Linked DNA regions of Lepisosteus oculatus. The protein of the gene in region 4 interacts with the protein of the main gene of each other region in a biochemical or structural test. Links are inferred from orthologs where the notes say so. Each region holds a gene or a part of one and is shown on either strand. Other genes may lie near its edges. The genes, in order: senp2, kpnb1, nuclear RNA export factor 1 and nup153.

What was found.
Region 1: the proteins of nup153 (region 4) and senp2 form a complex in vitro, tested with the Homo sapiens proteins (2 studies listed by BioGRID). The link is inferred for Lepisosteus oculatus from reciprocal best matches to the Homo sapiens genes NUP153 and SENP2.
Region 2: the proteins of nup153 (region 4) and kpnb1 form a complex in vitro, tested with the Homo sapiens proteins (4 studies listed by BioGRID and IntAct, with this or other methods). The link is inferred for Lepisosteus oculatus from reciprocal best matches to the Homo sapiens genes NUP153 and KPNB1.
Region 3: the proteins of nup153 (region 4) and nuclear RNA export factor 1 form a complex in vitro, tested with the Homo sapiens proteins (2 studies listed by BioGRID and IntAct). The link is inferred for Lepisosteus oculatus from reciprocal best matches to the Homo sapiens genes NUP153 and NXF1.

Annotation. Positions count from the first base shown.
Region 1 is NC_090707.1:24,428,021-24,436,015, reverse strand, and holds the start of senp2 (sentrin-specific protease 2), read right to left. Parts: upstream 3,010-7,995; 5' UTR 2,672-3,009; coding exon 2,502-2,671; intron 1,850-2,501; coding exon 1,794-1,849; intron 1,307-1,793; coding exon 1,191-1,306; intron 1-1,190. UniProt on the Homo sapiens protein: Protease that catalyzes two essential functions in the SUMO pathway.
Region 2 is NC_090723.1:10,479,189-10,486,205, forward strand, and holds the start of kpnb1 (importin subunit beta-1), read right to left. Parts: upstream 3,008-7,017; 5' UTR 2,771-3,007; coding exon 2,731-2,770; intron 1,987-2,730; coding exon 1,928-1,986; intron 529-1,927; coding exon 346-528; intron 5-345; coding exon 1-4. Other genes in the region: npepps (puromycin-sensitive aminopeptidase), read right to left, coding at 6,288-6,443.
Region 3 is NC_090713.1:22,970,839-22,978,483, reverse strand, and holds the start of nuclear RNA export factor 1, read right to left. Parts: upstream 3,001-7,645; 5' UTR 2,868-3,000; coding exon 2,804-2,867; intron 1,717-2,803; exon of another isoform or gene 1,490-1,716; coding exon of another isoform or gene 1,456-1,489; intron 1-1,455. Other genes in the region: inositol-trisphosphate 3-kinase B-like, read right to left, coding at 6,231-6,566, 6,911-6,982, 7,066-7,167, 7,259-7,463.
Region 4 is NC_090705.1:16,834,026-16,842,023, forward strand, and holds the start of nup153 (nuclear pore complex protein Nup153), read right to left. Parts: upstream 3,004-7,998; 5' UTR 2,943-3,003; coding exon 2,865-2,942; intron 1-2,864. Other genes in the region: kinesin-like protein KIF13A, read right to left, coding at 7,543-7,760. UniProt on the Homo sapiens protein: Component of the nuclear pore complex (NPC), a complex required for the trafficking across the nuclear envelope. Functions as a scaffolding element in the nuclear phase of the NPC essential for normal nucleocytoplasmic transport of proteins and mRNAs.

The DNA.
Region 1 (7,995 bases), on a different chromosome or scaffold from region 4:
TCCTTTAACCCATCTGTAGATGGCTCTGTACTTTAATCAAAATTGAAAAACCTTGGGGTTATGTTTGATTCTAGCTTAACATTCGACCCACATGTACAGCATACTGTCAAAACATCTTTTTTTCACCTTAGAAATATCGCAAGACTACGCCTTATGCTATCATTAACTGTGGCTGAAAAGCTGATCAACATATTTGTATTCTCTCAAATTGACTACTGCAATGCTCTACTCTCTGGGGTATCTAAATCTACTCTGAACAAACTGCAGTATGTCCACAATTCAGCAGCCAGAATCCTGACCAGGTCTAGTGCAAGTGTTCACATTACTCCTAACCTGGAGTCCTTGCACTGGCTTCCCGTCAAATTCCTCGTAGACGTTAAAATCCTCATGCTCACCTATAAGGCTCTACATGGCTTGGCACCTCAATACCTGTCTGAACTATTATTGCCCTACTCCCCACCTCGCAACCTCCGCTCTTCAAATTCTGCCCTCCTTACTGTCCCCCAAGCCCGTCTACATTGTATGGGTGACAGGGCCTTCTCCTGCTATGCCCCCAAGCTCTGGAACTCTTTGCCCAAGGATATCAGAGAGTCACATTCTCTAAACACCTTCAAATCCAGACTCAAAACCTTCTTCTTCAGAAAAGCCTTTATTTAACTGGTTCCATTCTTCACTCCTGTTCTTCTAAGTACCACCTTCCATGGTCTCCTCTATTGTTATTGTTGTAATTGTAATTGTATCTTATCTTGTGTATTCTTCTTATTTATTGTTGCAGTCTTCTTATTTATTGTTATTGTCATCCTTTAAAGCGCTTTGAGACGCTACCTTTAAAGGCGCTATATAAAATAAAGTTTATTATTATTATTATTAAATACTTATGAAATCATGATGTTTCCATTTTTCTTTCATATGAATTTTCAATTGACTCATTTTTGTTTCCTGCTTTGTGTGGAGAACTTTGTTGATATAGCAAAAATAAATGTTACACAAAGTGCAAGCTTTAAAACAACAAGGGTCTGAATACTTTTGTATGGCACTTTAGAGAAACACTTCAGAATCTAATAATACTCCTTAAACCTCCAATTGTCCTTTCTTAAATATGGTATTGCTGTAAAAACAGTTTTGGACTAGAGAATCTGTAAAGAAAATCTACTCTTTGAAATGGTATTTAATTAAAACAGAGTACCTACCTGAGAAGTGCTGTTCACCTTTAGGGTTTCACAGTGAGAAGCAGTAAAAGGATTCTGAAATCTGAAAAACCCGGTGACTCCCGTCAGTGTTTTTTTGACAATACTGACAGCTCCATCTAGGCAGAAAGGATTAAACATTACAAGACACCACATGTCAAAACTGGAGCATACTCACTTTTACTTGTGAGATTTGTTAGGCACAAAAAAAAGAGAACATTCTGTTTAGAATAAGTTGTTCAATATGCATTAACTGCTTAATAGAAAAGAGCAAACCTTTGCATCCATCCATTTTATTATTCAGGTTTAGGGAGTTTAATGATTTACATTCCAAATAGACAAGTTGATTTATTATAATCGTAACTGAACAAAACATGTTGCTGAAACGTTAATGCAAAGATACTTTTTTTATATAGGGTAGAAAATTGTTTCTGGGCACAAGTAAATAAATAGGGTGATCAGATTTAATTACAGGCGTTACTGGGCCCAACTAAATTCGTTTTTAGCATATGAATTAATTTCCCCAACAAGCAAAAAAAGAAAACAAATCTAGAGATCAGAGCTGCACTGACAATTTCACCAGGGAGAGACAAGCCTGAAAAATACCTCTTCTGGGTCTTTTGATCCCCGAACATTCAGTCTGGGTGTCTGATGTCTGGATGCTGGGAGGGGGAAAACACAGAGGCCATTTTAAAACCTGGAATAAAAGTTATTCCTCACTAAACTCGATGCTGTGGCAAACTAAGTAAGGTGCCATACCTGTACATTTCACCAGTACAAATACATGTCCTGCAACAGCAAGAACACTGTGCCAGACAGCCAGATGAAAACAGCTTTTATGGGAAAACCTTAAAAGGTTTTAGGTGGATACATTACGACCCTAAGAGAGGCAGGCTAAAATGTCAAGTTTATTTTTTCAAACGTTTATTCGTGATTCAGCTATTTGACAAACGGAATTAATACAATAGTTAAAAATTGTATTCTCTGCCAAACAAATTCTAGCACCGATAAAACTACGGGTAACGAGCTATCAATGCGTAAAGTTGCAATTTAACTTCACTAGCAAAGACAATTGGAAAGCAAAACGTCTTGAAGTAAACTCCACGACACTGTCTAAGTTACGGTTTTTAAAACGCCGAAACAAACTTGGCATGACTCGAACAAATACGTGTTCGACACACTATTTCATTTCATTAACCATTATTGTTTCTCGTTATTCTTATCAAACTGCCACTTGACTTCGAAACAAAACATGTCAATAAAGAAAAAGTTAACGAGGCACTGGTCTGCACACCCGTCCCCCGTCGCTCAAACCTGCAACACACCGACCTCTGGTAATTTCTCTTAGCGGGGCTGACGCGGCTCTGCAGCCGAGGAGCGGCGGCGGAACTCGGCGGGGTCTCGGTGCCGGGAGGACTCCGCGTCCTTTGCCGGGAACGTGGAACAAAGAACGACGTGATGCCGTTAACTATCCATTCATACATATCAGAAAACCGCGACAACAAGGCCGCCTGTCCGTCTGTCACTGTCAGGGCCAGGTCTGAAGGGTGCTGGGTTGACCAGCCTCCGAACAGGGACACCAATTCGCGTCACGACCGTCTCATAGTAATACGTCTGAAAAACTGAAATAAACTACCTGGTTGGTTAAACAAAACATTAAGATTTTACATCCTGGGGTTTCATTGGCTAACTGAACGACAACAATACGTCAAACACGCACTTCTCAATTTGCAGTACTAAACCCAGCCTTCTCAGTTCAGCACGGACCAAAACACAATAAGGCCGAACCTCGTTGATGCGCATGCGTACCAGCAAGCGAGTGACCGAGCATAGCAATGCAAGGGTGGACATCCGCACCGCGGGAAGTATCCAGTTTGTGAAAATGCACTGCAAGGGTACAGATGTGTTTTGACATTTAATTATATGTAGTTCTACAAACACTGTGAGTGATGTTTTATAGTGTTGCAGGTAAAACTCACAACGTGTGTTTTATTCAAGCTTTCAACGAGGCTGAAGCTAATTTGCATCGCACTGTGTGTTTTATTTACCCACCAATTATTCCGTTTCGGAGCTGTCAGAGAAATCTGTTTTTGCGAATATTATTTCCTGTTTAATAATATAAACTTTTAATCAAATAACAATTATATTTAACGTTTTAGCTTATTATATAAAACAATCGTACACACCAAGTTCATACAACTTCAGTCTAGTCCTACAATTACATTAATAATTACAATTACACCAATTATAAACTGAACTGTGTTTACAGTTAATACATTACACTTTATAATTAAGAAAGCAAAACAACAGCAGAAAGCAGAACCATGAAAAACAGACTTATCAGTCCTCTCCGCGTATACGTAGTGTATTTGTACATAAACGGTATATTACGTATTGGACAGTTACATGTCAGGCTGATATACCATTACATTATATGGGTAAAATCTCGGATTTTCTTCTGCGGTCAACTGTCAAAACGTAAACTTTTTAGATAACAGAGTCGATACAGTTGCGCGAATACAATGAAGTAGGTAGGTGTTTATTTTGAACACTCAATGAAGTAGGTTTATTTTGTGGTGTGTTTTTCACATAAACACTTCATTTTTATAAATAGCCCTGTATAATTTGTTAATTAATATTCGCAAATTAAATAATATTCGCAAATTGTCATGTCAAGTTTTTTTTTTACAATTTTCATTATCACACATGATTAGAACTTACAGCTATATACTTATACAGCTTGTTACAGTTTTCAAAACTGATCTGTTTTGATATTCTTCTCCAGGGAACTAAAAAGGAATGTATATACTTTTTAATTAATGAAGTTCACTAATGTTTATCAATCCTTTTTTTAAGTAATACCAAGAGACTTTTTATTTTCTGCCTCTCGACTTCTTCTCACCTCCTCATGCTGTATTTCTGTGATGAGAAGCTTTGGGGGGACAGAACAGGAAACCCTTTTTGCCACAAAGTCGAATTTGTTTAAAACAATTTAAAGTCAATTTAGTTTAAAGACCAGGCTTAAGGATTTGTTATATAGTTTTTCAGTCGTACCCTCATTAACAGCATATCACGCTCTTTTTGCGTCTGCATCAAGCTAGCCTTAACAGGTTCAATCACTCGTAATTGTGTTCTTCACACTAAAAACTAATTTGCGACGTATTACAGTACTATGCGATGCAAAACATTTATACAGTCATATACACTCCATTATTTTCTTTATTTCATGAACGTTGCTTATGTTTCTATTAAAACACTTAATGTAGCCCACACTACAATACATGAACAGAAAGGTAAAAATGTGGAAAATGTTAAGTTGAACAACTGCCAGTTAGCTATCTCTCAGGACAACACACTTCTCACAGATCATGCTAGTGCCTTTAGGTACACCTCATTATTTTGTTAACTAATTAATTCCTTAACCTTATACAGCACTTTTCTGGACACACTACTCAAAGCACTTTACAGGTAACGGGGACTCCCCTCAACCACCACCAATGTGCAGCCCCACCTGGATGATGCAACGTCAGCCATAGTACGCCAGAATGCTCACCACACACCAGCTATCAGCAGGGAGGAGAACAGAGTTCTGAAGCCAATTCATAAATGGGGATTATTAGGAGGCCATGATTGGTAAAGGCCAATGTGAACTTTGGCCAGGATGCCAGAGTAACACCCCTACTCTTTTCAAGAAACACACTGGGTTTTTTAATGACCACAGAGAGTTAGGACCTCGGTTTTAAGTCTCATCCGAAGGACGGTGCCCGTTTACAGTATAGTGTCTCCGTCACTATAATGGGGCATTAGAACCAAAACAGACTGCAAGACACCTCTTCCAGCAGCAACCTTAGTTTTTCCCAGGTGGTCTCTCATCCAGGTACTGACCAGGCTCACACCTACTTAGCTTCAGTGGGTTACCAGTTGTCAGTTGCAGGATTTTATTCTGTTCATCCGCTGGGTGAATAGCCCCTAAACAGATGGAAACCCCATTACAATGGGAAAAGGATAGCTAATGGGATAAATACATTTTCATCAACCACATATCCAGTCTCCTCTTTGCTTATGTCAGCCACCTTAGCAAAATGTCAATTTAGTACTAAGTAAAATAAGCTGTTACAAAGCCATATAGTGGCACTTATAAAGCAACATTGGCATACTCTAACAGCTATCATAAAACTTGAGCAAAAAATTGTATGCACAAGACATTGATACCCTAACATCAGTGGTGTCCAATCCAATACATTCCCATGGAAACTAGTCACTAGTTACTACTATACCTACCATCACTGTTAATTTAATTGTCCCATACAAACATGATACTCACAATGCCAGCTTTATCTGCATTGAATTTTACTGCCATACACAGCATAGTTTTCAGTGTTGGGCTAGCAGACCTTACAAGCATTCAACATTAAAAGCAGGAATGCATCAGCTGTGAAAAGGTAGGAGAAAGTGTAAAAAAACTGGTGTCGGGCCGGAGGTGTGAGGGCTATACTGACACGAAGTTTGCATAGAATGGCTAGTGTCTCTGTAAGGATGGTACATTCCGTGTCTTTCCTTGTTCTGGGGCTTCCCATAGATCAAAGGTCCTCCTTGTGCAGTTACCTGACAGTTCAAGGTGACGTGTGATTGTGAGACAGGTCTAACTGGACTTTAGACTGAGATAAATACGCACTGCAGCATTAATCGTGGTCATCTGCATGACTTGATCAATGATCCCCAAGCAGTTAGCTCTGCCCACTTCCAAGACATCAAAGGGAGACTTCCACTTGCCTGAGAATGTGACCTGGTAGGAGGAGCTTCAAACACCCCAGTCATTAGGACTCATGGGGCACACAGACAGAAGAAACTAAAGTAAAACCGTTCGTACCACAGCACACAGGTAAGGACTCAGACACTAAGGATTCTAGTAGAGAATTAGAGGAAGGCTCCAGCATCATCTTCCTCTCCCCTACCGAAGCTAGATTCAGAGCAAAACAGGGTGGGAAGGCACATAAGAGACCACATTGTCCAGTATGGCCAAGACTGAGGAGATATCAAAAACTACAAATAGTTTCTTCTGTCTGTGGTGGAAGAAAGCATGCCAGCTCACCAACTGGAGTTGGTTTTAGAGAGCAGAGATGTTGGACTGCTCCTCTGGGAAATTTGGGTTTTGGTAAGTGGGATGCATGGGGATCTTTTACTGTTCTGTGAGTATGTGCCTCTTTTGATTAAGTTGTGTTATGTATTCTGTGTATTGGGTAGGCAGTTATAGAATCTGTCGCATCGCAGGTCCTGTGTGATGAATAGATTGATAATAAAGTATTAAAAAGTGTAATTATGTATGACACCTGTTCTGTGCAGATCTTTGGGTGTACTGATGGTTCTGGTAGGATAGAGGAACCTGTTGTGGAGCAAAAACGGTCCTAGTACTCTTAATGTTGCTAGGTGGAGTAGCTAGCAACAAAAGCTAACATTATCCTGCATTTAGGGATCACGCTCTGTGACAAAAACTTTTTGCAAATATACTGTATGTGTTCCGGTAAAACACATTAAATATAAATTGATTATGTTTGCTATGAAGTATATATGGGTGGCTCTCCAGAACCAGGAATCTCTATGTCATTGTGATAGAGTCTGTCTAGTTCAAAATTTAATACAGGGCAGCTGGAAACCCAATTATTTACCAACAAAGAGCTTAATACAATAAACACTAAGTTGTTTCCTGGTTTAGAGAATACAAACAGAAAACAAAAGACTGTTTATAAAAGGCTTTTAAATTGGTAAAATAATCTACTTCATTTTCTTTTTATTCAGTCTTATAGTGATTTTGTTCCAAACATAAACAGTTACTGTTTCACAAAAAGAAACATATGTTGTTAGAATCGACATTTATTAAAATTTCAAGCACTTTGCAAAAAATCATAAATACAAAAATACATAGCTTACAAAGAAAAGAAAGAAATAGATATAGTTTGTGACAACAGTAGGTGAAACTATTGGAAAGGTCATTCCATATGGATAGATGCACTAAATTAAGGAGAAAACAGTCCTTTAAAATAACATGATATATTAAAGCTTTACTGAAAAGAAGCAAACGTTTCAGGCTAAATATAGCATTATTAAGATAACATATAATAATATGGCTTTTTCTTTCAATAACCCCTTTTAAGAGAAGATTTGTATTCAGAATCATGAAGAATATTTAACGTAAAATCTATTTCAACTTCTAACTACATATATTTTTATACATCTGCATCAACATTCCATGGTTTGCTCAAAGTGATATAATCAGCGACTGAGTTTAAAATGGACAGTCATTTGAATACTGAAACACTCCTTTGCAGCCTTGCACAGGAAAGAAGATGTAGCAACAATCTGCAAGGATCTCAAACAGTCTGGTCCCTTCCTTCTGTATGGATGTCAGCAATGTCCAACCTATACACTCCCAGTCAGATTGCTTAAGGTACTGCCTGAAGATGGATGCAACTTCTTTGTGAAGATAAAATGGATAGTCACCTAAATGCCTGTCAAAATAAGAAGGAAGTGCTATAAACGTAGATCAGAGATCCTAGATTGATCAGCCAAGTGAACTGCGATACATCCACTGCCACTCACAGTAAATATCTGTTTACAGACACTAAACTCAAGCACAACCTCTCCCATTATGGATCACATATACAGTATACTGTCATTAAAATAATTTCTTGCTACACACAGCTTTTTCTGGAAAGGAGAAAACCATCGAGACATGGAACCCCAGAGATTTATTTTTTTGTTTTTCTCTGATCCTTCCTCGATGGTTACACTGTTACTCTACAATACATTA
Region 2 (7,017 bases), on a different chromosome or scaffold from region 4:
GCACCTGTAACAAGGAAAGTTGTCAGTATTGGGTTATTAAAAAAGGTCTGCTTATGTCTGCAGTGATACACAATTCCTTTAACTCCAGTTTAATAATAAAAGAACTGTCCATTTAACACCAGTGTCTAAAATAATAAATATGGAAGCTAGAAGTATTATAGAGCACTATGATGTAATAGTTCAAAAGAACACAACAAGCACCCCAACAACACCACCATACTGGCTTGATACACTTGTGTCTGCTATGAAGCATGGTGAATGAACCTACTTCGTCTCATATAAAGAACCGAAAAACTTCAGCTGGTAACTGATCAGTTCTGAATGCAGCAGCTGTGCCAGACTTACATAGTTCTTTATTTCTCTCCGTGCGTTGGCATCTATCGCGAGCCACCTCTGCTGATACTGCGTCTTCACATCAGGGTCTTTGGAGGTTAGGGAATTCTTCACCTGGAGGCCAGCCGCCACCCGTGCCACCTGACTGTTCCCCGGGTTCGCCAGCACTTTCGACAGTTCCACCAGGAAGGTAGGCTGGGAGATGAACAAGCCACAGATATGAGCCATCGCAGCCAAAGCAGGAGCTGACCCCTGACCCGAATCCACACTACAAGAGCAGCATTCCAAGCGGTAACCCCTTCCCTTTTAGAACAAACAGCCACTTCTGCGTTTATTATGTTCACTTCTGCAAGACCCTCAGTTAACACTCTCAGCCACAGCAGGCACCAGAGCAGTACTTTACCACAAAAATGTGTCCGTTCATTTTCTGTTAATAAATGCCTCTTCTGCCATTACGGATGGCTCTAACCGAACTGCTCGGCTGAGACCTAGAATGCAGATGCCTGCACGGCATGCCGAAACCACGAACCAGGCCGAGCGCTGGAAGGTCAACTCCTCAACTTATCCAGTGTGTTCTCTGGGAATGCCTTTGGACGTCACAATCAATCTCTGCCAACTATTAGTTACTATTAGGCCTCTGTTTTTGACTTTCACAAGTTTGTCCTACTAATTAGTTATTAGTTTAAAAAAGGGCAGTTGCCATACTTTTCCATACTGTTAGTACTAAATGACAAAGAGCTAAACCTTATTACATGTCTTAAAAAGATTTCAATTACTTAAAATAAAAGGCAACGGTAGAAGTAAAATGAGACGTTAAGCAGATTCATGGTAATCTTCAAATGCCAGTGTTTTTGTTGCACATGCATGCACCACTGCATGGTTGGAACAGAGCTTGCAAATAGCAGCCTGCACTGAAAAGGGTATTCTCATGAAGGTGGCTCTGAACAACATGAGTGGCTTCGTAGTTCAGATCTTTATCTTTGAACATATGTAAAAATGATAGATACTTTAAAGACCGGATTATAAAGCGTTCATAGTAGTATTGAAATTTGCACTTTAACTTATGCATAAGTTAAAAAATGACTATCTACGCTGTACACTGCACATATAACCACCAATCCGAACACTCTCCTTTGCTGAAAAGTAACCTTTTCTGTCCACGCCTACATCTGCAGAGCCTGGGGAATAACTTCAGGACATCGATGGTCATTCGTAAATAACTCTGTACCAGAGGTGAAAGCAGAAATTACTCTCGGTTTCTAAGCCAGATGCACAGACCACCAAGCCCGTCTGTAAGCGGTCAGGCCCCGCGGATCGGCGCTCACATGGCCCCGGACTGGGCCCCTGCCTCTACCGAGCCCCCACGCCCTGTACGGGAGCCGCCATTGGACACGCTGCACGGGAAATCCGGGCCCGCGATTCTCCACGCAGCGCGTCAATCAAACTCACAGCCGATTACAATGGAGTGGGCAGCGGGGGCATGGCGCTTTTTCATTCAGGATCTTTTCTGCGTAATGGAGGACTTGGGCACCAGACAGGGGGCAAGAAATCTACGCAGAGCACAGACTGGGGGGGTGAAAAAACCAATACAAACCAAGTTCTCAATAGCTGCCTGCTCCAGAAACTTCTGCGCAGCCTCCAGCTCATTCCGATCTGAAATAAAATGAACAAAAATGTCGCTTAAATCCGCTAACGGGTACTCAATGAAAATACCCTTATAGATCAGCAATTTAGACATCTACACGGAGGCCTAGAATCGTACAGCTAGAAATCTCCATTTTCCTAGAAAATCACTCCCAGGCGGAGCTCGCAGGCGGCGGAGCGCCCCAGGCCGCGGCCGGCAGCTCATGCGGGACCACACGGACCGGCCGCCAGGGCTCACCGCGCAGGCGGGCACGCCGGAAAACGGCACTCAGATCCCCAAGTTAGTGACACCACTAATCTGCAGCCCCATCATTCGACTTCGAGCTGCCCACAGACCCACGATTTAAATAAATTGTACAGGAAACCACCGGTGAGATGCAGAAGTTACACCGATCCACGACCCGGCCTTTCGAGCCCTACAATTACACCTCCTGTTCCGATTAGGCCGCTTTCCCAGACAGACCTCGCCGGGCCAGCCGGTGCCCAGAGGCGCCCCTGGACTGGCCCAGGGAGGCCAGCGGGAGCCCAGGGGCCGCGCCGGGAGGCCGGGCGACGTGCGCGGGGAATCGGCCCCAGAAAGCCGGTCCGGCAGGCTTGCAGGCCGAGTCCACCCCTCCCTCCCTTTCACAAACAACTTTCCGTTCCGGAGCCCGATTCTCCCGGGATCCACGGCTTTCAAGCCGAACAAGCACCGGATTGAAAGCAGTTGTGAGGACATAAAGAGAAGTCCCGCGGCTCCGGGGGTATAATCACCTGGAGAGACAGTTTTTTCGAGGATGGTGATGAGCTCCATTCTGCCCGAGCCGCTCCACACAAGTAGTAGCTGGTAGCGCACCACAGAAACCGGATCAGACTCCTTCTGTATTCAGGCGATATGACATGAAAGTTTCCAAACGGAGGAGGGCGGACGATGAAACGCGTTTCCCCAGCGAGCGCCCGGCGAGGCGGTAAGTGCTCTCCGAGCGGCAGTGCTGCTGTCTGGGGGGAAGGAGCTGCTTCACGCTCCCGCGGAAGGATATCACGCGCCGCCGCAGTGGCAGAGCCTCCTCCCCTCCGGCGCGCCCCCGTCCCCGGCGCGCCCCCGAGGCCCGCTCCTGCCCGCGCCGCCGCGAGAGCCGGCCTGTCCCCCCTGCCAGATGTGCGCGCTCCTGCGGACGGAGCGGGGGCGGCTGTCCCTAATAACAGCAATATTCACCCGAATATTCATTATAATAGAGACGTCCTGTCTGCAGGATTACATCCACAAGCCTGTATGTAAACTATAGATCTATAGTTTACTGCAAGTCACATTATTAGCGTGGGGGTAACACAGCTAATGTTACAACATGGTGTAGTAACAGATGTAGTACAGAGTGAGGTACTTTAAAAAACAGCAATACGAGCAGCAAGGTAACGTGATCGGGAGAAACAGACAGGCGAAACGTGGGCTCAGGGATTGAGGAGACCGGCGGAGCGCAGCGCAGGCCTGGCCTGTAGACACGGGCACACCCAGACCCCGGCACGACGGGTGGTCTCACATCATCCTGCTGGCTCCTTCTGCGGCTCCAGGAATAATTACTTAGGGGGTCTTGCATGTGAGGAGCGGAGCCACAGTGAATCATTTTAGTATGTTGATTTTTTTCCTTTGTACCTCTTAAGTAAGCAATGCAGTATGCTGAATTTATGTTTTATCAGAAAGAACTGTAGCCGTCACCGATATCTATCACAGTATGCAAAATACACTTTCCCGGTGGGGTGACTTAACCTCCCCCCCCAGCCTCATGAAAGAGCCCTGAATATCAGTATTTTTCTTAAGACCTAGAAAACGAGATTTGCTCAAACAGTGCAACATCCGCCCTGTCGACGTTTAGCACGCCTTTTCTTCCGTAATCCACATTCAAAAACGAAAGTCAGAAAAGTAAATGTAGGAAGTAGATAGGAGCATTTTAATAGATCCGAAAAGGCAGATTCCTTGATAACCATCAACTCCGCGGCACTTTCCCGTGCCTTGTCCGTGTGTGTGCGGGGGACTATTTGACTCCGTCTGTGCAAGGATACACGGCCCGCAGGGCGCGATGAGGCGCTGGAAGAGTTTGTACTTCCCGCCCGGCGGTGCGGCTCGCGCAGCTCGCGGCCCGAGGGCGCTGGGTTTACAGACAGGGCAGGGCGCGTGGACTGCGCAGAGCTCGAGGTTTGCCCAGCGGAAGGCAGTGCGATTTGCTTCCAGGTATAACGCACAGCAGCTACACGAGCCCTGTTTAGTATAAAATATTCAAATCAACAGTCTCAAATATTAAGAAGAAATTTTGTCAGAGAGTTTAAGATTGTTCTGTTACATAACATTGCTGGATAAGGCCATCACCAGAGGAGGCCTGAAATGCTACAGAGAAGCAGACATTGCAGTTCAGTGGTATTGCAGCCATAACAGACAGCTCATTTACAGCTGGCTGCAGAGCACAAATTAGCTTGACCTCAAATTGCAAAAACTGTGTAAAACTAAAATGGTGTGCTTTGGTGTCCGCCTTCTGCAGGCTAAGGCTGATGCAAGTCAATCTTTTCTGAATAAGAGGTTACCGAACAGCTAGACTGGTGCTAAACGGGCCAATCCTCTCCTGGTTTGGTTGCTTGCTTTATGTTCAAAGTTCACGGCAATCAGATTTTAATATATAAGAATAATAAAAATCTGTGTTTTTCCCTCATAAAAGTATTTAATAGCGACTCAAAACTGAAAAACAACTGCTTGGCCTGCAGTTCTGCGGCCCGTGTGTGGGCCCGAGTCTCCAGTGTGGAGAAGCAGCTTCAGCTCTTGTGGCACCACTGCCAGAACAGCAGCTGTGCCAGTTCCCGATTCTCTGCTCAACACAGCAGCACGGTCCAAATACTGGACACACCCCAGGGAACTGGGTAATATGGAGATGCACTTCTCAGCTCAATCTCCTTTGGCATGAAGGATAACCGCTCCAGGTTTGCAAACATACACATCAACACTGTCATTGAAGAAAGGAGTGATGTTGGCATTCTTTCCTTTTATTACATTGCTTTATAGCAATATTTTGTTTCAGTTGCCAGTAACCTATGACTGACAGGTCCTAACAAGTTTGTAAGAGAGTAAAAAAGAAAAAGCGATTTCACATTGACACTTCTTGTTGATTTTTTATTTTATGAACACCAACCGTTTTTTAAACAAAAGCACAACAGATGTTTCAGGGAAGCAATTTGACAATTAGTTTGATGACCTTCTCCAGTATGGTTCAAAGCCACACTAAATAGCAAATTGTATGTAAATATATCCTTTCAACAAGTCTACACGTAGATTTGTAATGTTAGTACAACATTGCTTTATTTTCAGTGTAGTAACTATTACCACTTCACAGTGTAATAATTATTGCAAACCAGTTTAACCAATTTAAGGCTTCTTAATTCAATAGCCGTGAAATCCTAGTTACTTTGTGGCAAAGTTCTCAGGGCCTGAAAGTTTCATTTCTTTAAAACTAATTTAATATGCAGCATTATCTGTAAATGTCATTTAAAAGGCCCAAATCGCTTTGAAGAACTTTTCATGAGTTTCACAACTTTAAAACAATTGCTAAATCTACTAAAATATCTGTATCTAATTTTATTTAATGTGGCTGATACACAGATGTGTTTCCAGGCAGAGGCTCTGTGCTGCTCTACAGAGGACGCAGCTCAGGGTCAAGGAGGTGTGGGACCATGGAAAAGAAAAGAGTCCTTCTGGAAAAGGGCTACGAAACGGAGGAGGGAAGAAAATCATGTACATCACCATTCTTGAGTGAGAAGTCTTGCGTGAATAAACACTGGATAGATACATATCAAGTTCCATGCTAGTTTCAGCCATTCCCACTGAGCTATTCTCAGCATCACCCTTCAGCGCTGCTGTGTGCTAACGGCTGCTCTCCGCGCGAGGAGAAGTTAAGCCCATCCTGCCCAGCTCCACTTGACCGCCTGACCCCCAGTGAGGTGCCAGAGCTGCCTCGTGGTCGCTTGACGCTTTGTTTCCAGAAAAGCAAATTCATCATTTCACAGTACGCTCAACAATGCAACATTTCCACTTATGTCAATATGAAACAAAATTGGCCAGAATCATTTCACACCAACAATGTTATGTTGTGTGTTTTAAGTTATGTTGCTTAGTTACTTGCAAGCACGGTTCCGTCTGGGGAAAACAATCTGGCGTGGGCAGAATGGGGTTAACTACATTCATTTTCCAACCAGTCTTGTCTACTTGATGTGGAGAAGTGGAGTCAGGAGAGCGTGGCTGACTCCTCCCTCGGCCCCTGGCCCGGTTGCGGGACGGCGCGGGCCGCAGGGCGTCAGACGGCGGCGCTGGGTGGGGCTCGGCGCTGCAGGATATACTGGTGGATGTCCTCGGCGTCACGCTTCAGCCAGGCGGTGTTCAGGAGGATGTTCTCGCAGCACTGCTGCACCGTCCGCTCGGCTGCGGGGGCGTGGTGGCTCTCGAAGAAGCTCTGGGGGGGGGGGGCAGACAGTTCTGGTCAGTGTGAAACACAAAACTCCCCCTGGCAAAACTACACTCTGATGGGGTAATTAACACATTTTAGTGCACACTAACTATGGCTGATACAGGGGATGATGTTGTATTAAATTTCCCAAGGGAACCTGCAGGCTCTTTACTTTGTGTCCAGTATAGCTTCCTCTATGTGCTCTGTGCAGCCCCAGGGCCCAGGGGTGTGAGGTTTAGATGTGTGTTGTTAGATGGAGACAGAGCTCCTTCACGAACCTACACAGTCTATACACCCCCACATCCCAAAAAATATTAAATCCTTAATATTCACTGAAGAAACACTGATGAAACACGCTAACCATTAGCAAAAAGGCAGCGTGCGAGTTCATTCAAATACAGTACATATTGTGAATTTATAGTGGTTGTTGTGAGCTAATTAATGTGTGAGGAAAACGGGCTTTGAAATGAAAAAAAATGCCGATGATTGGAACTATTACCGCATTTGATACTAGCACTGAGGACTGGGCAACGTACATTGAAAGAGTGGAAATGTACTGCGAAGCAAATGATGTAGCAGA
Region 3 (7,645 bases), on a different chromosome or scaffold from region 4:
GCTCTGGGGGCACTCCAGTCCAGTGCCAGTCTCTATCACACAGGACGAGCGCTCTGGGGGCACTCCAGTCCAGTCCAGTCCCAGTCTCTATCACACAGGACGAGTGCTCTGGGGGCACTCCAGTCCAGTCCAGTCCCAGTCTCTATCACACAGGACGAGCGCTCTGGGGGCACTCCAGTCCAGTCCCAGTCCCTATCACACAGGACGAGCACTCTGGGGGCACCCCAGTCCAGTCCAGTCCAGTCCAGTCCCAGTCTCTGGATGAGCGCCCTGTGGTGCACGATTCTAAGGGTGTGAATCCGAGTGGTTTTACTGTATGAAAATGTTCTAAAGCAGGGAGTGTGCTTCACACTCGCACACTGACTTCACACAGGCCTTCGGCTTGTTGACTTCACACTGCTGCAGCTCCTGTCCCTCTGAAACAGCGCTGTCCGTGGACACTGTGATACACTGTCACTGGATCAGCCCCGAGCGCCTGCACATTCTGGGAGCAGGATAACTAATGGATGTGCTACAGTATCGGTGAATCAAAAGATCTCTTTATTGGCCAAGTAAGTGTTCACTTACAAAGAATTTGACTTGGTGAGTTGTTCATACACTGTATACATACAAACACGCCACATATACTAGACACATAAAACACGACATACATTTCAGAAATTAAAGAAAAAATATATATTGCACTTCAAGAAGGTGTCAGAACTCTCCCTACGTGATAATCCCACACATATATACTTGTAAATGATAAATAAACTATCCATAATAAATACCCACATACAGATAACATTATTATTGCACATAATACTATGGCTGTAAACTAAATAATCAACATTCAATTTTGATAACACAGTTAAAGTAATGTCCAGTGGTCAACGCAGGTGATTAATGAGAGTCTGCCTTGTGCTCCTGGTGCCACCTGACCTAATCTTTCCTGATGGGAGACTGGAAAGACAGGACGGTCAGGGTGAGAGGGGTCGGCAGCGATCCCGAGCCGGGAGCCTGGGGTCCTCTCGGCAGCGCGCAGGACCGGAGGGGCTGGGGCGACACTTCAGCCTGACCGCTGTTCTGCGCCACCGGGGGTCCGTGCGACCACCGGGCAGCTACAGGGGAACAGCAGCCGGAGCGGGGGTCCCCTCTGCCCCGGGAACGACCTGCTCTCCCCAGCCCGTCTCCTGGTCTCGGGGTCGGCGTCACGACTGCGAGGCGAGGACGGGGACGAAGACAGACGCACGCACAGGCGCCCTGCGACACTGGCCCTCCCGCTGAAAGCGCGTCACGGCACCGGACTGGACCGGAGCCGCGATCCGCGAAAGGACGAGAACAAACCCGCACCGCGCGTCACGAAGGGCGCCTTCCTGAGATCTCGGCGGCCCGCAGTCTGCCCTCGCCTCCCCAGCTGGAGGACGCGGGTCTCCATTTTGGCTGAGCTGGACAGGGAGAAGCTCCATCACTTACCGCTATAGTACCGGCCCTCGTCCGCCATCGCCATGCTCCCCACGCACTCCACGAAAGAAAGCTCCCACGATCGCTCCCGAGAAGACTCGCACGGCCCGAGAAGACTACCCTGCTGTGCTCATGCAATAATCCAGCCGACGCGCTACTGTAAAAACGTCCTGATCGGCGCTTCTTTCCTCTACCCGCACAAGTGCGATCGCTGTGCTTTGGCGACACAAGCTGGGAGATCAACACTGCGCTTGCGCAATACGTCTCCGCCGCCCCGAGCCCGCAGAACTACAAGCGGCCAGCTTCCGGTGACGCACTTCCTGTGTGGACGGACGCCCGGCTCCCTATATGGTAGGGTGCGGGGTTCCAGGGAGCTGGCGTCGCGTAGCTGAGGTATAAAACACTTTTCAGACCCGAGGGGGGCTGTGCGCAGTGATAACAAAACACACAAGAACCCAGGGCGTCCGTCCGCAATCAGATGCCATCTATCATGACTGCGGAGCTCTCCAGCTTCGCCAGCTGACACTGGCTGGCCACCAGTAAACCTTGCGTTGGGCAGATTCAGCTTCGGGGAATTTGACAAGACACGAGTGACAGAGGCACAGGGGAAGCCCGGGATGGCGCATGATCTGGCCGAGAGGAAGCCCACAAGGCCGGGGGGTCCGGAGGACCGGGGCAGACACCGCGCTGCCTGAGGAACCAAGAGCCGAGCCTGAGCACTCCATCACTTCCTGGACCGCCAGCAGCACCAGGAGCAAGGAGCCCAACAATACTAGTGGAACTGTACTGGGACTGGAGCTCCCAGTGAAACAGACACTTCTACTGGACTGGAGCTCCCAGTGAAACAGACTGTCCTACTGGACTGGAGCTCCCAGTGAAACAGACACTTCTACTGGACTGGAGCTCCCAGTGTAACTGGACTGGGACTGGAGCTCCCAGTGAAACAGACACTTCTACTGGACTGGAGCCCCCAGTGTAACAGACTGTCCTACTGGACTGGAGCCCCCAGTGTGATCTGACCTGTACCCCTTATCTAATTAGATGCACGTGTTTCGTACGAGTAGCAAGGAGCTCAGTTTCACGTGGGCGCTCGGACACGAGCGAGACGGCCCACGCGTGTCCCCGCTTCAACCCGGCCAAAACCAAATCGCCACCGGGCGCCCGGGGGAGGAATTATCGTGGGGTTTGTTAGCGGAGTGGGGGTGCCGAGGGTTTCACGCCAGCGCGACGGAGTGAGCCCCGTTTCTGAACCCGGCTCGGGAGGGGGCCTCTCTGACAGACACATCTGTGTGTGACAAACACGAGTGGGGCGATACAGGTCCGAAACTAACCGAGCACAAGTCATTCCTCACGCGTGTACCTGTCTCCGCGTCCCTGCGCCTCACCACCGCGAAGTCCTCGTACCACTTGGGAAAGAACGCCATCGTCGTCACCGTCGCCAATGACTTCTTAAAATTCGTTATTCACTTACTTATTTTTTATTATTATAATGGTCGCTGATTAACAAGGTGATTCCGGGCTCCAGAGAGCGACCGTTACCCCCCGGCGCGAGCCTCTCCCGCGCCAACTTCAGACAGCCGGGCGGGGGGGTCACGTGACAGGGGGCGGGGAAAAGGAGGGGGGGGGGGGTTCGGGGCCACGGGCGACGGAGCGGCGCCCCCTGGAGGTGGAGTGCGGGATACTGCGCATGTCCGTTTGAGGCGACGCCGCTCCTCGCGGGACGCTTCGAAGAGAGGCGAGGGGTGGGGTGGGGTCTCCGCGTTCTGGGCGGGGCCAATGACGTCAGCTTCCCTCCACTTCCTGGTGAGCCTGCCGCTCCCATCGCGGTTCGGAGGGGACTGGTCGTGAAAGGCGCTATATAAAATACAGAGCCTTAATGCAGGAACAGCTGCTGATATTGCCAGCAGCCATATCACCCTGCAACTCACAACTGGCAACCCACTGAAGCTAAGCAGGTGTGAGCCTGGTCAGTACCTGGATGGGAGACCTCCTGGGAAAAACTAAGGTTGCTGCTGGAAGAGGTGTTAGTGGGGCCAGCGGGGGGCGCTCACCCTGCGGTCCATGTGGGTCCTGATGCCCCAGTATAGTGACGGGGACACTATACTGTAAAGAGGCGCCGTCCTTCGGATGAGACGTAAAACCGAGGTCCTGACTCTCTGTGGTCATTAAAAATCCCAGGGCTCTTCTCGAAAAGAGTAGGGGTGTAACCCCGGTGTCCTGGCCAAATTTCCCATCGGCCCTTACCAATCATGGCCTCCTAATAATCCGCCTCTATGAATTGGCTACATCACTCTGCTCTCCTCCCCACTGAGAGCTGGTGTGTGGTGAGCGTTCTGGCGCACTATGGCTGCCGTCCCATCATCCAGGTGGGGGTACACATTGGTGGTGGTGGAGGGGATCCCCATTACCTGTAAAGCGCTTTGAGTGGAGTGTCCAGAAAAGCGCTATATAAGTGTAAGCAATTATTATTATTATTATTATTATTATTATTATAAATCAGGGCAGTTGATTGAATTGATTGAATTAAGTGGCCAGCAGCCATATCACTCTGCAACTCCCAGCTGGCAGCCCACTGGAGCCCAGCAGGGTGAGCCTGTGGAAGACCGGGCCAAAAGGTCACGACAGTGACAATGCGCGGGAAAGGTTTTCTGTCTCAGGTGCAAACTAAAGCCTGTGATTCCTCACACCCGTTCCACCAGAGAGAGATGAAACAGAGTGCAGGGTGCCAAATGGCTTCTTCCTGTCCTGTTTGTTTGATCTCCGACACTGCCCCTTTCCCTGTGTGTTCCTTTGAGGCGTTAAAGTCTCGCCTACTTTTAATGTATAAAAAGGAAAGTGTCACTTCAGTCCGGGGAGCATGTCTGGAGCGCGAGGGGAAACCCGATCTCCGTGCTGTGCTCCCCTTCAGCTGCTCGTATTAAAGATCTCTGTTTGACAATCTGCCAACCTGAGTGAAGACTGAGTTTTCTTCGACAGTCAGTAGCTGGAGGGGAGACTCCTGGGAAAGACTGAGACTGCTGCTGGAAGAGGTGTGAGTGGGGCCAGCAGGGGGTGCTCACCCTGCGGTCTGTGTGGGTCCTGATGCCCCAGTATAGTGACGGGGACACTGTACTGTAAAACAGGCGCTGTCCTTCGGATGAGACGTAAAACCGAGGTCCTGACTCTCTGTGGTTATTAAACATCCCAGGGCGTTTCTCGAGAACAGTAGGGGTGTTACCCCAGTGTCCTGGCCATATTCCCCCCTGGCCTTTACCCCTCATGGCCTCCTAATAACCCCCCTCTCTGAACTGGCTTCATCACTCTGCTCTCCTCCCCACTGAGAGCTGGTGTGTTGGGAGCGGACTGGTGCATCATCCAGGTGGGGCTGCACACTGGAGGTGGAGGGGATCCCCATTACCTGTAAAGCGCTTTGAGTGGCGTGTCCAGAAAAGCGCTCTATAAGTGTAAGCAATTATTATTATCATTATTATTATTAAGTAGTTAAGGGTGCTGGCTCTCCATTGCCAGTGTTTCCTGGGGGTCTCAGGAGTGTGTCCCCCTGAGGGCTTCAGCCAATCAGCCCCCTGACCTCGTCATCGTCTCAGACGCACACAAGGTGTTACTAAAGGTCACTCACAGTCCCGTCCCTCCAGGTCCAGCTCTGCAGACACCCCTGCAGCTGCGCAGAAGCGTTACAGTTGTGTTAATTAGTTAATTAGACCCGCTGTGTGGCTGGGAGCTCAGGGGCAGAGCCTGACACTCTGAACAGGAAGCAAACAACACAGTTCAAGGAGCCTTTATTTCTGTGACAGACTGATGATAATCGCTACTGCCACAGACAACAGAGCTGTCCAGTCCAGTCCTGGAGGGTCAGTGTGCCTAGAACAGGGCTGTCCAGTCCAGTCCTGGAGGGTCAGTGTCTCTAGAACAGAGCTGTCCTGTCCTGGAGGGTCAGTGTGTCTAGAACAGGGCTGTCCAGTCCAGTCCTGGAGGGTCAGTGTGTCCAGAACAGGGCTGTCCAGTCCAGTCCTGGAGGGTCAGTGTGTCTAGAACAGGGCTGTCCAGTCCAGTCCTGGAGGGTCAGTGTGTCTAGAACAGGGCTGTCCAGTCCTGGAGGGGAAGTGTGTCTAGAACAGGGCTGTCCAGTCCAGTCCTGAGGGTCAGTGTGTCCAGGACAGAGCTGTCCAGTCCAGTCCTGGGGGTCAGTGTGTCCAGAGCAGAGCTGTCCAGTCCAGTCCTGGAGGGTCAGTGTGTCTAGAACAGAGCTGTCCAGTCCTGGAGGGTCAGTGTGTCCAGAGCAGAGCTGTCCAGTCCAGTCCTGGAGGGTCAGTGTGTCTAGAACAGGGCTTTCCAGTCCAGTCCTGGAGGTCAGTGTGTCCAGGACAGTGAAAGCTGCACATTCCCTGACGAATGAGGCCGAATAGGGAGTCTTTCCCTGCAGGGGAATTCCAGCTCCTGGAAGAGCAGGGAGCCCCTGTTCCTCCCTGAAATACTGCTGCCAAAACACACCCCTCTCGACACCAACAACTCCAATATTTCTACACAATCCAATCACGTCCGAACCTTCCGTCGTTCCCGAGATTCCCAGGGGGTCAGAATCCGAGGAATATCGACTGCAGATTCCCATATGGAGAGCTTCCCATTCCCACCACATCATCCCCACGGAGACCGGATGTGAAGAGGAACCGTGCGGTGACCTCTGACCCTGTGCATGGTGGGCCAGCACGGTTGCTATGGGTTACAGTCTGGGGCTCTGTTGGTGTAACCGGGTCCAGTATTGGCAGGTTCTGAGTGTGCTGGCCGTGTGGTCAGGTGTGCCCTTGTCTGGGTCTGGGTCCAGTACCGTCGTCAGCAGGCCTGGGCGGAACCGGACTCGGCTCTGGGGCAGTCCTGAAATCCTGGTCCGATTCGGCACTGCTGCCCGGGCCGGGGCCGGTTCGTGATCGCTCCAGGGCCCAGCCCACGATGGAGGTGAGGTGGGCCAGGCCGATGAGGTACCCGTCCTCGCGGCTGCCCTCCGTCCAGGGCACGTCGTGCTGCAGCGCCAGGCTGGGCGGGGCGGGCGTGGTCTTCCCAAAGTCAATCATCCACACGTTGGCCCGGCCGGAGAGGTCGTGGACAAACAGGAGGGAGCTGCCGATCAGCTGGGGGAGAGAGGGGTCAGAGGTCAGAGGTCAGGGACAAACAGAAGGGAGCTGCCATTCAGCTGGGAGAGAGGGGTCAGGGGTCAGGGTTCAGGGACAAACGGGAGGGAGCTGCCGATCAGCTGGGGGAGAGAGGGGTCAGAGGTCAGGGGTCAGGGACAAACAGGAGGGAGCTGCTGATCAGCAGGGGGAGAGAGGGGTCAGGGGTCAGGGACAAACAGAAGGGAGCTGCTGATCAGCTGGGGGAGAGAGGGGTCAGAGGTCAGGGGTCAGGGACAAACGGGAGGGAGTCCAATGTCTGTGTCCAGGCTCTCCAGGGCCTCCTGACGGACACACTGACTGACCTCGTGGGAGTGGAAGAAGACCGAGTCTGGGAGAGCAGAGCGGAGATCGTTCAGCCTGGAGAGGTAGGCTTCCTGCGGGCAGAGCAGAGAGAGAGTCAACACTGCGGACACAGCGAGACAGAGAGGGACAGCGGGACAGAGGGCCGGACACTGACCAGGACAGGCGTCTGGCCCCTGGTGAAGGCGAGAATGGCCTCTATGATCTGCTCAGGGGTTCGAGTCTTCTTAAAATCCCTCAGGACCTTCCCGGCCTCCATCTGAGAGAGAGGGAGTGGGAGTCACGCAGGTGTGTGTGTGACCTGTGACCTGTGACCTGTGACCTGTGGTCAGCGCGCCGGGGTCACTCACAGTGATGCCCTCTATGCGGAAGCCCAGCGTTGCCGTGGAGCTGATCGTCTCCCTCCACTGCATGTAGCGCGGCTTGGTCACGGCCTGCTGAGCGTGCTCATCCGCCGTGGGAGCTGCCGGGTCTACTTTCACCATCTTCTGGTACATATCCCTCCGCGGGCAGGGCTTCAGGCGCGCCTTGGTCAGCTCCTCCTCCAGATAGGTCCTGCGAGAGGGCATCATTGATCACTGTATCACTGATCACCGTCATCAATCACTCATCACTGTATCAATGATCCCTCATCACCGCCACCGATCGCGGATCCCCACCACCTATCACTGTCTCATTGATCACTGTATCACTGATCACCGCCATCGATCACTGTATTATTGATCACTGGATCACTG
Region 4 (7,998 bases):
GGCCCTGATGCAGATATCTTAATGAATGCAAGCACAAAAGCTGTCAGATGATGCAGATGCTGATATGAACCTCTGGAAAGCTCATTACATACTCAAAACCTGGGTTGAGACAAAAAGTTGGAATAAAACAACCTGTACGTGTACCTTACACTTACACTAAAAAATGAATCCTGACATATCCACACTCTTATCACAACTTTAACCTTAACTATCACCAATTCTTTGACGATAACCCTATACCACATTTCTAACCTGAAATTCAAGAGTACATATTGAGCTGTCCAAATTCGGTTACTCAGCCCTCTGCTTGATAAAAAAGAATAATTAGGAGTAAATGATAAGAGCCGATTTGGGATGCGTTTTCAAAGAGATGTTAATTTGGTGAAGGGGACAATTTATAACTTAAATTTACAAATAGCTGCCTGATATTTCAGTTGTCTGGCACCTTTAAAAAAATACAGAACTTCTAAGACAACACAACAGAGGAAAACAAAATTCAGATGCATATGGATTTGTTGCCCTCTTCAAAATGTTCTCTAGTTAAATGATCACATTTGGAGAATCTGTGCAGGAGTGTCTAGTTACTACAGAACTCATAGCAACACAGAGTATTCGGACTGCATTGCACAGGGACACCTCACTTCCCAGCCTTTCTGGCAGGTTCATCCTGATGTGACTATTAGTTTTCCTGAATGATGGGTATGTGGCATTTAAGCCATGTATAAATGATGGGAGTCCCAAAAAACTATGCAACCCGATTCAAAGCTTCCATTGCAGATGGAAGGGGCGATGCAGATGCAGATACAGATACAGATGCAAAATGCAGGGGCGGAGCGGTGGCTCTGTGGCTAAGGATCTGCGCCTGTGACTGGAAGGTTGCCGGTTCAAATCCCCGCGGCCGGCAGAGGAATGGGCCCCTACTTCGTTGGGCCCCTGAGCAAGGCCCTTAACCCCTAACTGCTCCAGGGGCGCCGTACAATGGCAGCTTCTCTCCCTGTCTGTGTTTCCATGGAGAAAAGCCGGGGTATGCGAAAAGGCGAATTCCTAATGCAATAAATTGTATAGGGCTAATAAAGAAACATTAAAAACACTAAAAAAAGATGTACTGCCTCATAGGCTGGCCACACCAGTTTAAATTAGAACGTGCCCTCTGTGTGGTATATGTCTTCTCCCTGATTCTATACGAGTCTTCTCCATGTGCTCCAGTTTCCTCGAAGACACGCTGGTCAGGATAACTGACTCTCTCATTGTCCCTATGTCCGTCTTTCCTGCAACATACCATCCAGAGCGAGTCTCACCTTGTGACCCTCGCTAGGAACAAACAGCTTTCTGATACTAGATGAACTGATAGTTCAGTTTTCTTTCACTACACATTTTCCTTCCCCGTATTTTGGACAACTTTCGGCACAGTGAAAGCGCTTCGAAAGACCAGGACAGACAAGAAGAAAAAATATCCTGCAACTTAAGGCGCATTTAAAAAAAAAATTAAACCTCATTCCTAAGACAGAAGCATTCAGGAGATGAACTGGCATATTATGTAACAGGCCCAGTCTTGCATAATTTAACTTTTCATGAACTTGGCCTATTTAAACCAATTTTTGTACCTGCATCATGAGTGATGTTCTTAGATCTGTCATAATATGCCATCATGACAGATCTAAGATAAAAAAACAGCACAAAAAATCCCCAAACAGTAGCAAATCTGTTAACCAGCTGTATTTTTAAATGATTGGGTTAGCTACTACAGTTCTCCTTGGTGAAATCCTAAATTGCGTGATAAAGTTTGAAACAAAGGTTGCGAGTTAACAGCAAGATGCTTCAGTGTGACTAAAAACTCACAGCTCAAGCCTGTGGAATGACTTCATCTAATACAAACCTACACTCGGGTTCTTCTTGACAGAATCCACATGTCCAGAATTTGGAGTGATTTAAATGGAATTGAAAAAAGTTAAATATAACAACATTGTTATACTCGAATGGTTTTAAAAGGTGGGGGGGGCGTTCTTTTTCAAGCTTTTTGGGTGCCCGGACATGATATTTAAAGAGAGACGAAACTTAGAATAAAATACAGCACCCCACGAATAAACCACTTTTAATTGGGTTGGTTAGCGCATACTCCTCAATAACGGAGATTACACTTTAAACCTCACATTGGGAAGTGCAAAGGTTTAGGAATACAATATACTTATCCCGCTGGCGTTCGAACATCGAATGCCGCAAAATTTCGGCGATCTGCCCGCTTACGACGTGATCGCAATCACTGCACTGCGAGATCCGGAGCCACATGCTCGGAGCACAGGAGCGCACCGATCACCCTGACTCGCCGTCTAAAAGGACGGAACTCGGCGGTCTCAAGGATTAATTCCGCGAAGCGAAATTATCGGGGCTTTCCCCTGTTTCCACCTGGCGAGTGTGTGCACGCCACTCCGGCAAGAGTTACAGTCTTAAAGCAACATGCGGGGCCTGGACTCGCTCCAGGGTGGACGCACGTTACATTTTTAGCGCCCGAAAAAAAAAGTAAATAAACAAAAAAAAATCAGCGAAGAGAATACCAGTAAAATCGCAAAATGATGCAAAGTTTAAGTACCGCTTAATGACAATCCGATAATGCACCCCGACTGCCTCTTCACGCCACCGCTACTCGCAGTGTGCTCCCGGGCTGCCTTATTTCCCCGACCTCCCCGATGTGTTCAGCCTGCCTGCGCGCCCAGTAGGCCGCAGACACCAGGTACCAGAGAGCGCAGGCCTCCGAGGATGGGGCAGACCAGGCCGCAAGACGCCGTTACAAACACACAACACCTGACTACCACCAGCGAGCAAGACACCGCCGTTTTCTTTTAGCCACAAAGCAGAGTTCAATTTACCTGTTTGCCTTTGGCGTAAGGTTTCGAAGCGATGTGGTACCTCCTAGTTCTGATTTTCCCTCCTCCTGCAGCCGCCATGGTTTACTCACAACAGCTCACCGCTCGGTATCGGATACTCTTCTCCCGTCAGCCTCCGAGAAGCCTGGCCCGCCGCTATACCGACATGCATCGCGGGCGAGGCGTATGCCAAGGGTTTGTGGGACCTGAAGTTCTGTTTTCTGGTACGCCTCGTGGAAGAGTTAACTTAATTTTTTTTAAATAAAAAAGCTGAATGCGTCGGATAAAATCATACATTCGTCAAGATGTATTTTTTATTAATCACATTTAACTTACGTACACACGGAATATTACCATTTATAGACACGTCTTTGAAACGTACAAAAAGGAATTTGGGTACACCGACCTGTTCAGATCTTTCTATCTTGACGACGTTTGAGCACATAGGTTTTACTGCTAGAATTTTACGAGTGACACAATTTGTTACCTGTACTTTAAATTGAGTTGATTGAGTGAAGGTTTTTGCTATTCTGAGAACCTCAATTCAATTCCCATGTTCCAGGCTAGAAACACTAATTTTGTCAGTGCTCACCTCTAAATGATTTTTTTAGCATGCTGACAAAAGGTTTAAACTATTCCATGTAAAAGCAATCTAATTTATAACTTAAACGTTACTTACACTTGATTTAACCTTTGCAATCTCAATGCTATGCCCAAGCATTCTTTTGTCCTTTTTTTATTACTTCCTCATACTATGTAGTTGATGACGGTGAGAATTCAGTGTACTTTGCCTGAATAAAGAATAAAATCTCCGGAGGAATTGTGACATCACCCAAGCACAGTCAACACACCAGAGGTAAAAAATCAGCATATATTTTATTTTAACTCCCCTGGGGAGCTGGAGTACAACTTGTACTCTCTGACTCTGTAAATACAGTACAAGAACCCTGAATAGCTCCTGAATGCCTTCCATGCAGGTGCTGGCCATTCTCAGATACCTTCCAAGCTGGCCTTGCCTGCAAGTTGCTCTTAAACCAGGCAAGAAAGCAACCCAGTTGCAGTCTCCCACATCTACTCTTGCCCCCTAAACTGGGGCAGGTAAACTCCACTGGGTGTGTGATAGCCAGAAATATGGCAACTGAAATTACCGCTTTGAATTACTGTGAAGGGCATTCGTCTTGATTTTCAAATGTGATAGTGTAGGACGCTTTCCGCAAGAAATGCAGTGGATGGAATTGCAGGACAGGCACAATGCCCTCTGGGTGATCTGGAGTGGATATGAATTTACTGGCAATACAGTGTCTTCTGGTCCATCACAAAGTGTCTAGCACGGATTGTGAAGAGATCTGTGGATTAGAGTGATCTTTCCCGAACAAAGTTTCCTTCCATTTACACTGGCCAACCATTTCAGGGAACATACCAGTACAGTCAGGATTGAGGTCCTTCCCAGTCCTGTAATATATACACACACTATTGTGTCTGCCACAGTCATGGCCACAAAGACCTCTGTTTCTGTCCTTTGGCAGGAATTTAAAAGCCCCAATGCCAGAAAAACATCAAGTGAAATTTAATATAATTTTGTGCAGAAGAGTCCACATAGGAAGATGGCACAAATACATATGAGGCAGTAATAGTGAGATCTAGGAAGTTACAGTCTGCATGAAAGGATCTATGTTTTTATACAGTATGTAAATATCCTTTTTAATGTCCTTGTAGTACTTTAGAGCGATTTTACATTCAAAGGTAATGAAGTCATCCTCTGGAACAGCCTCTATGCCAGTGAGCCTTGTTACTTGAACCGAGTGAGAAAACAGTCCTAAAAACCTTTGGTTTCAGCTAGAGTTACAGATCACGGATCTGAATCCGTGATGTAAAGAGTTCAGGGTTATATTGGCAAGACTGCAGACTGGTGTTGTACACAGAGCTTCAGAGAAAGCACACACAATTATACAGTAAATGACATATCTGTCAGTGAAGATATTCAGCCTTTAGGAAGTGGCCATAAGCCATTTAAGCATACTGTATGTTTTCTTACAAACCTTTTCATGAACTGCCTTTTTGGGAGATGCTCTTCAGACGGCCTTTAACGGAAGAGCTAAGTAATAAGTAATAAAAACCTATAGACATCCAGAATAATCTGAAAAGCCGATTCACACAGCCATTACTGAACTGTCACTCTGATTCACAAGAAGAAGTACACTAAGAAAGACACTACTGATCGATGTGTTTGAGGAGTTTGGTAATGACTGATTTTTTCTTTCAAATATTTCTTACAGTATAACAATATAATATGTGTCAGACTGCAGGATTCTCAATACAATTGTCCAGACAGAAGGGGGGTAATTGTATTTTATGCATGAGCCTTTAGTGGGTGAAACTTAAAAAAAATGTTTTGCTTTCTACTGTACATAAGAAAGGTTACAAAAGAGAGGAAGCCATCTGACCCATCTGATCCATTTGGTAGTTTGTAGTTAATTGATCCAGGGATCTCATACAGCTGTTTCTTAAAAGGAACCAGGGTACCAGCTTCTACAATATGGCTAGTTGGCTTGCTCCGGAATACAACAATTGTAACAGCAGTATTAAGAATATAAGGATGAAGCTTTGTCATACAACCAGAGTTTTAAGTTAAGAATTTTTACAATGCAACTAAATCACCTAAGGCTTTATTCAGAACCCTCCTGGAAATCAACATAGGACTCCAGGTGCAGTCCAACTTGAGAATTGTGCAGTTTCTTGGCTAACTTTCTGGACTTTCATTTAATCCTGAATGGGCAAATTAAAAGTACAGGTTTAGATACTCTGTGGTTCAACACAGTGATGTATCTTCTTTATTCTCAAAAGCACTAAAAGCACTGTGACAGCACTAAATGACTTTACTTGGTAATTAAAAGCATGGTAATTAAAAGCATGGTTTTGAGTCCTAAGATATTGCTTTATATGGTGATACTCTCATAAAGAACCAGTATTATTTTTCACAAAAAATCCCTTTTATCTTATTTTGTGAGGAAGTTGGTGTTGAACAGATAAGCTATTTGTTACATAGCGGTGGCAGGCGATAGATTGAAATATCACAGTTCTTCTGAAAGAAGTCAGCAGCTAGCAGGGAGAGCCCAGTGTTTAACAGGCATTGCTCAAGCCATAGTGCCGATTCTTAGTCATTTTAACAGCTCTTTTTTGCTGTGCTGTAAATTGTACTTCAGTGCATATATTTAAAACAAATGAAAATGTCTCAGGAATAGGTAAACGTTTATTCCACGCTGAAAGGAAAAGAGACAACGTTTCAGATGTGGTCAAAATCCTGAAGAAGGCAACATAGCTGAAACATTGCATCTCTTTTCTTTTCCTTTAAGCATGGAATAAACCTTTACCTGCTCCTTTGCAGTTGACACATCTACCTTTCAGAAATATCTTATGAATGCCAAGATGAACTGGCTTCTGACATAATGACTGCTTAAAATAAGTGATGACCCTTGAGTAATGTACCAGATAGAGAACTTGACAATGCTCATGACTATCTTGGAATGAAGAAAAAAAGACAAGAAAAGTATTTACATTGTAAACATTCTGTATTCTAAAACACTTCTGTACCAATTAAATAGAGTTGGTGAAATACAATATAAATTACAATTCTGTACAGTACAGTGTAGTAAACACTATGTCCAAACAGGGGGCTATTTACACCATCGATTCGGGGAGAGCAGCTTTTTTAAAATAAGGTCCTGGGTTTTTACTTGAAATTACAGTAGACCGTTTGTTTTTGCAGCTCCTCGTGATGAAATCTGTTTAAAAATACTTTTAGCAATACTTTTCAAGCAGAGCACACAAGACCCACTATCATCCAAGTATATAAAACTATGATACATACATTTTTTTTGTTTCCCCATCATTGTCCAACCCTACCATTCCACATAAAAGTTTAAATTAGGAGAGTCTAAGTACCATTACATAATGGAAATTGTACTTGTTCCAAAACACAACAAAACTGAAGCTCTCTTTGTAGCAGTAACACTTTTCTCAGTCCTGTATCTACCTGGCAGACAGACTTGAATGTTAGTGTTTTAAATGCCTTGAGGCACTGGATGATGCATGGTGATTGAGTTTGTACGGATTCCAGTAAAAGCCTAGTCAACACAGTAGCGGCCTTTTGGAAGACAGACGTCATGGAAGAGTGTTTTGTGAAACACAGAGAAGCAAAAGGCATTACAATACCTAGCCATCAAGGGAAATATGGCACAGAGCTTTCCCTTTAAAAAAACAAACAAACTAGGGTATGGACAGCAGATATAATGGGTTCTTTGGCAATTCACAACATTTAAAATCATACAGACAAGGAGTTAGGAAAACAGACAATTTTAACAGTGGTCTAGTTTCTAACAGAAAACCCACATTCTCTCAGGAGGTAAGCTTGTCTGAGTGAATAGGCGTCTCCAATGAAGTAATTCAGAATTAATACAGCATGTCAAAGTTATAAAATGTGGGCTTTAAACTAAGTACATGTGTATCTGTATAATGTGCACCAACTACTAGCTGTTAGCTGGTGTCTAATAAAAGGACAAAGTCACGACCCAGCAGAAACCATTCAGTCACCTTTCCGAATATACACATCAGGTTCCAATATACACAACCAAACACTGTTTCTCTACGCAGCAGGTCGCGTAGCAAGAGCAAAAGCCGAGGATCAGCTGACCCACGAGCGGCGGTGTTCTTGCGTCTTCGGGGGGGTGGCGACGCCTCTCCGTTTCCTGCTGGTGCTGGCGGCCGACTGGGACCTGGGTACGCTGTCCTGCGCTTTGACCTTGTGGGGGGCTGGAGAGAGGCGGGTGGGCTTCACAAACACGCCGTGTCCCGGGAGGCAGCGGAAATACTCCCGCCCATGGACAGTGCCGTCGTGTTTGCCTGTAAACACAACAAATAAAAACATTTACATCCACAGGATAGATATTTCACAACGCAAACTTTCTTTCTCCGCCTCAGTGGCGATGGCTCGTCTCAGAGTAAGAAGAACTTCCTTTTTAATTTAAGAACTTCAGTCCCTCTCTGTCCACAAATATTTAGACCACTTTTAAACATAAGTGATAGTTTTACAACACGTGGTGTGCCAAACAAGACTTTGAAATAAGCATGCAGCTCAAGA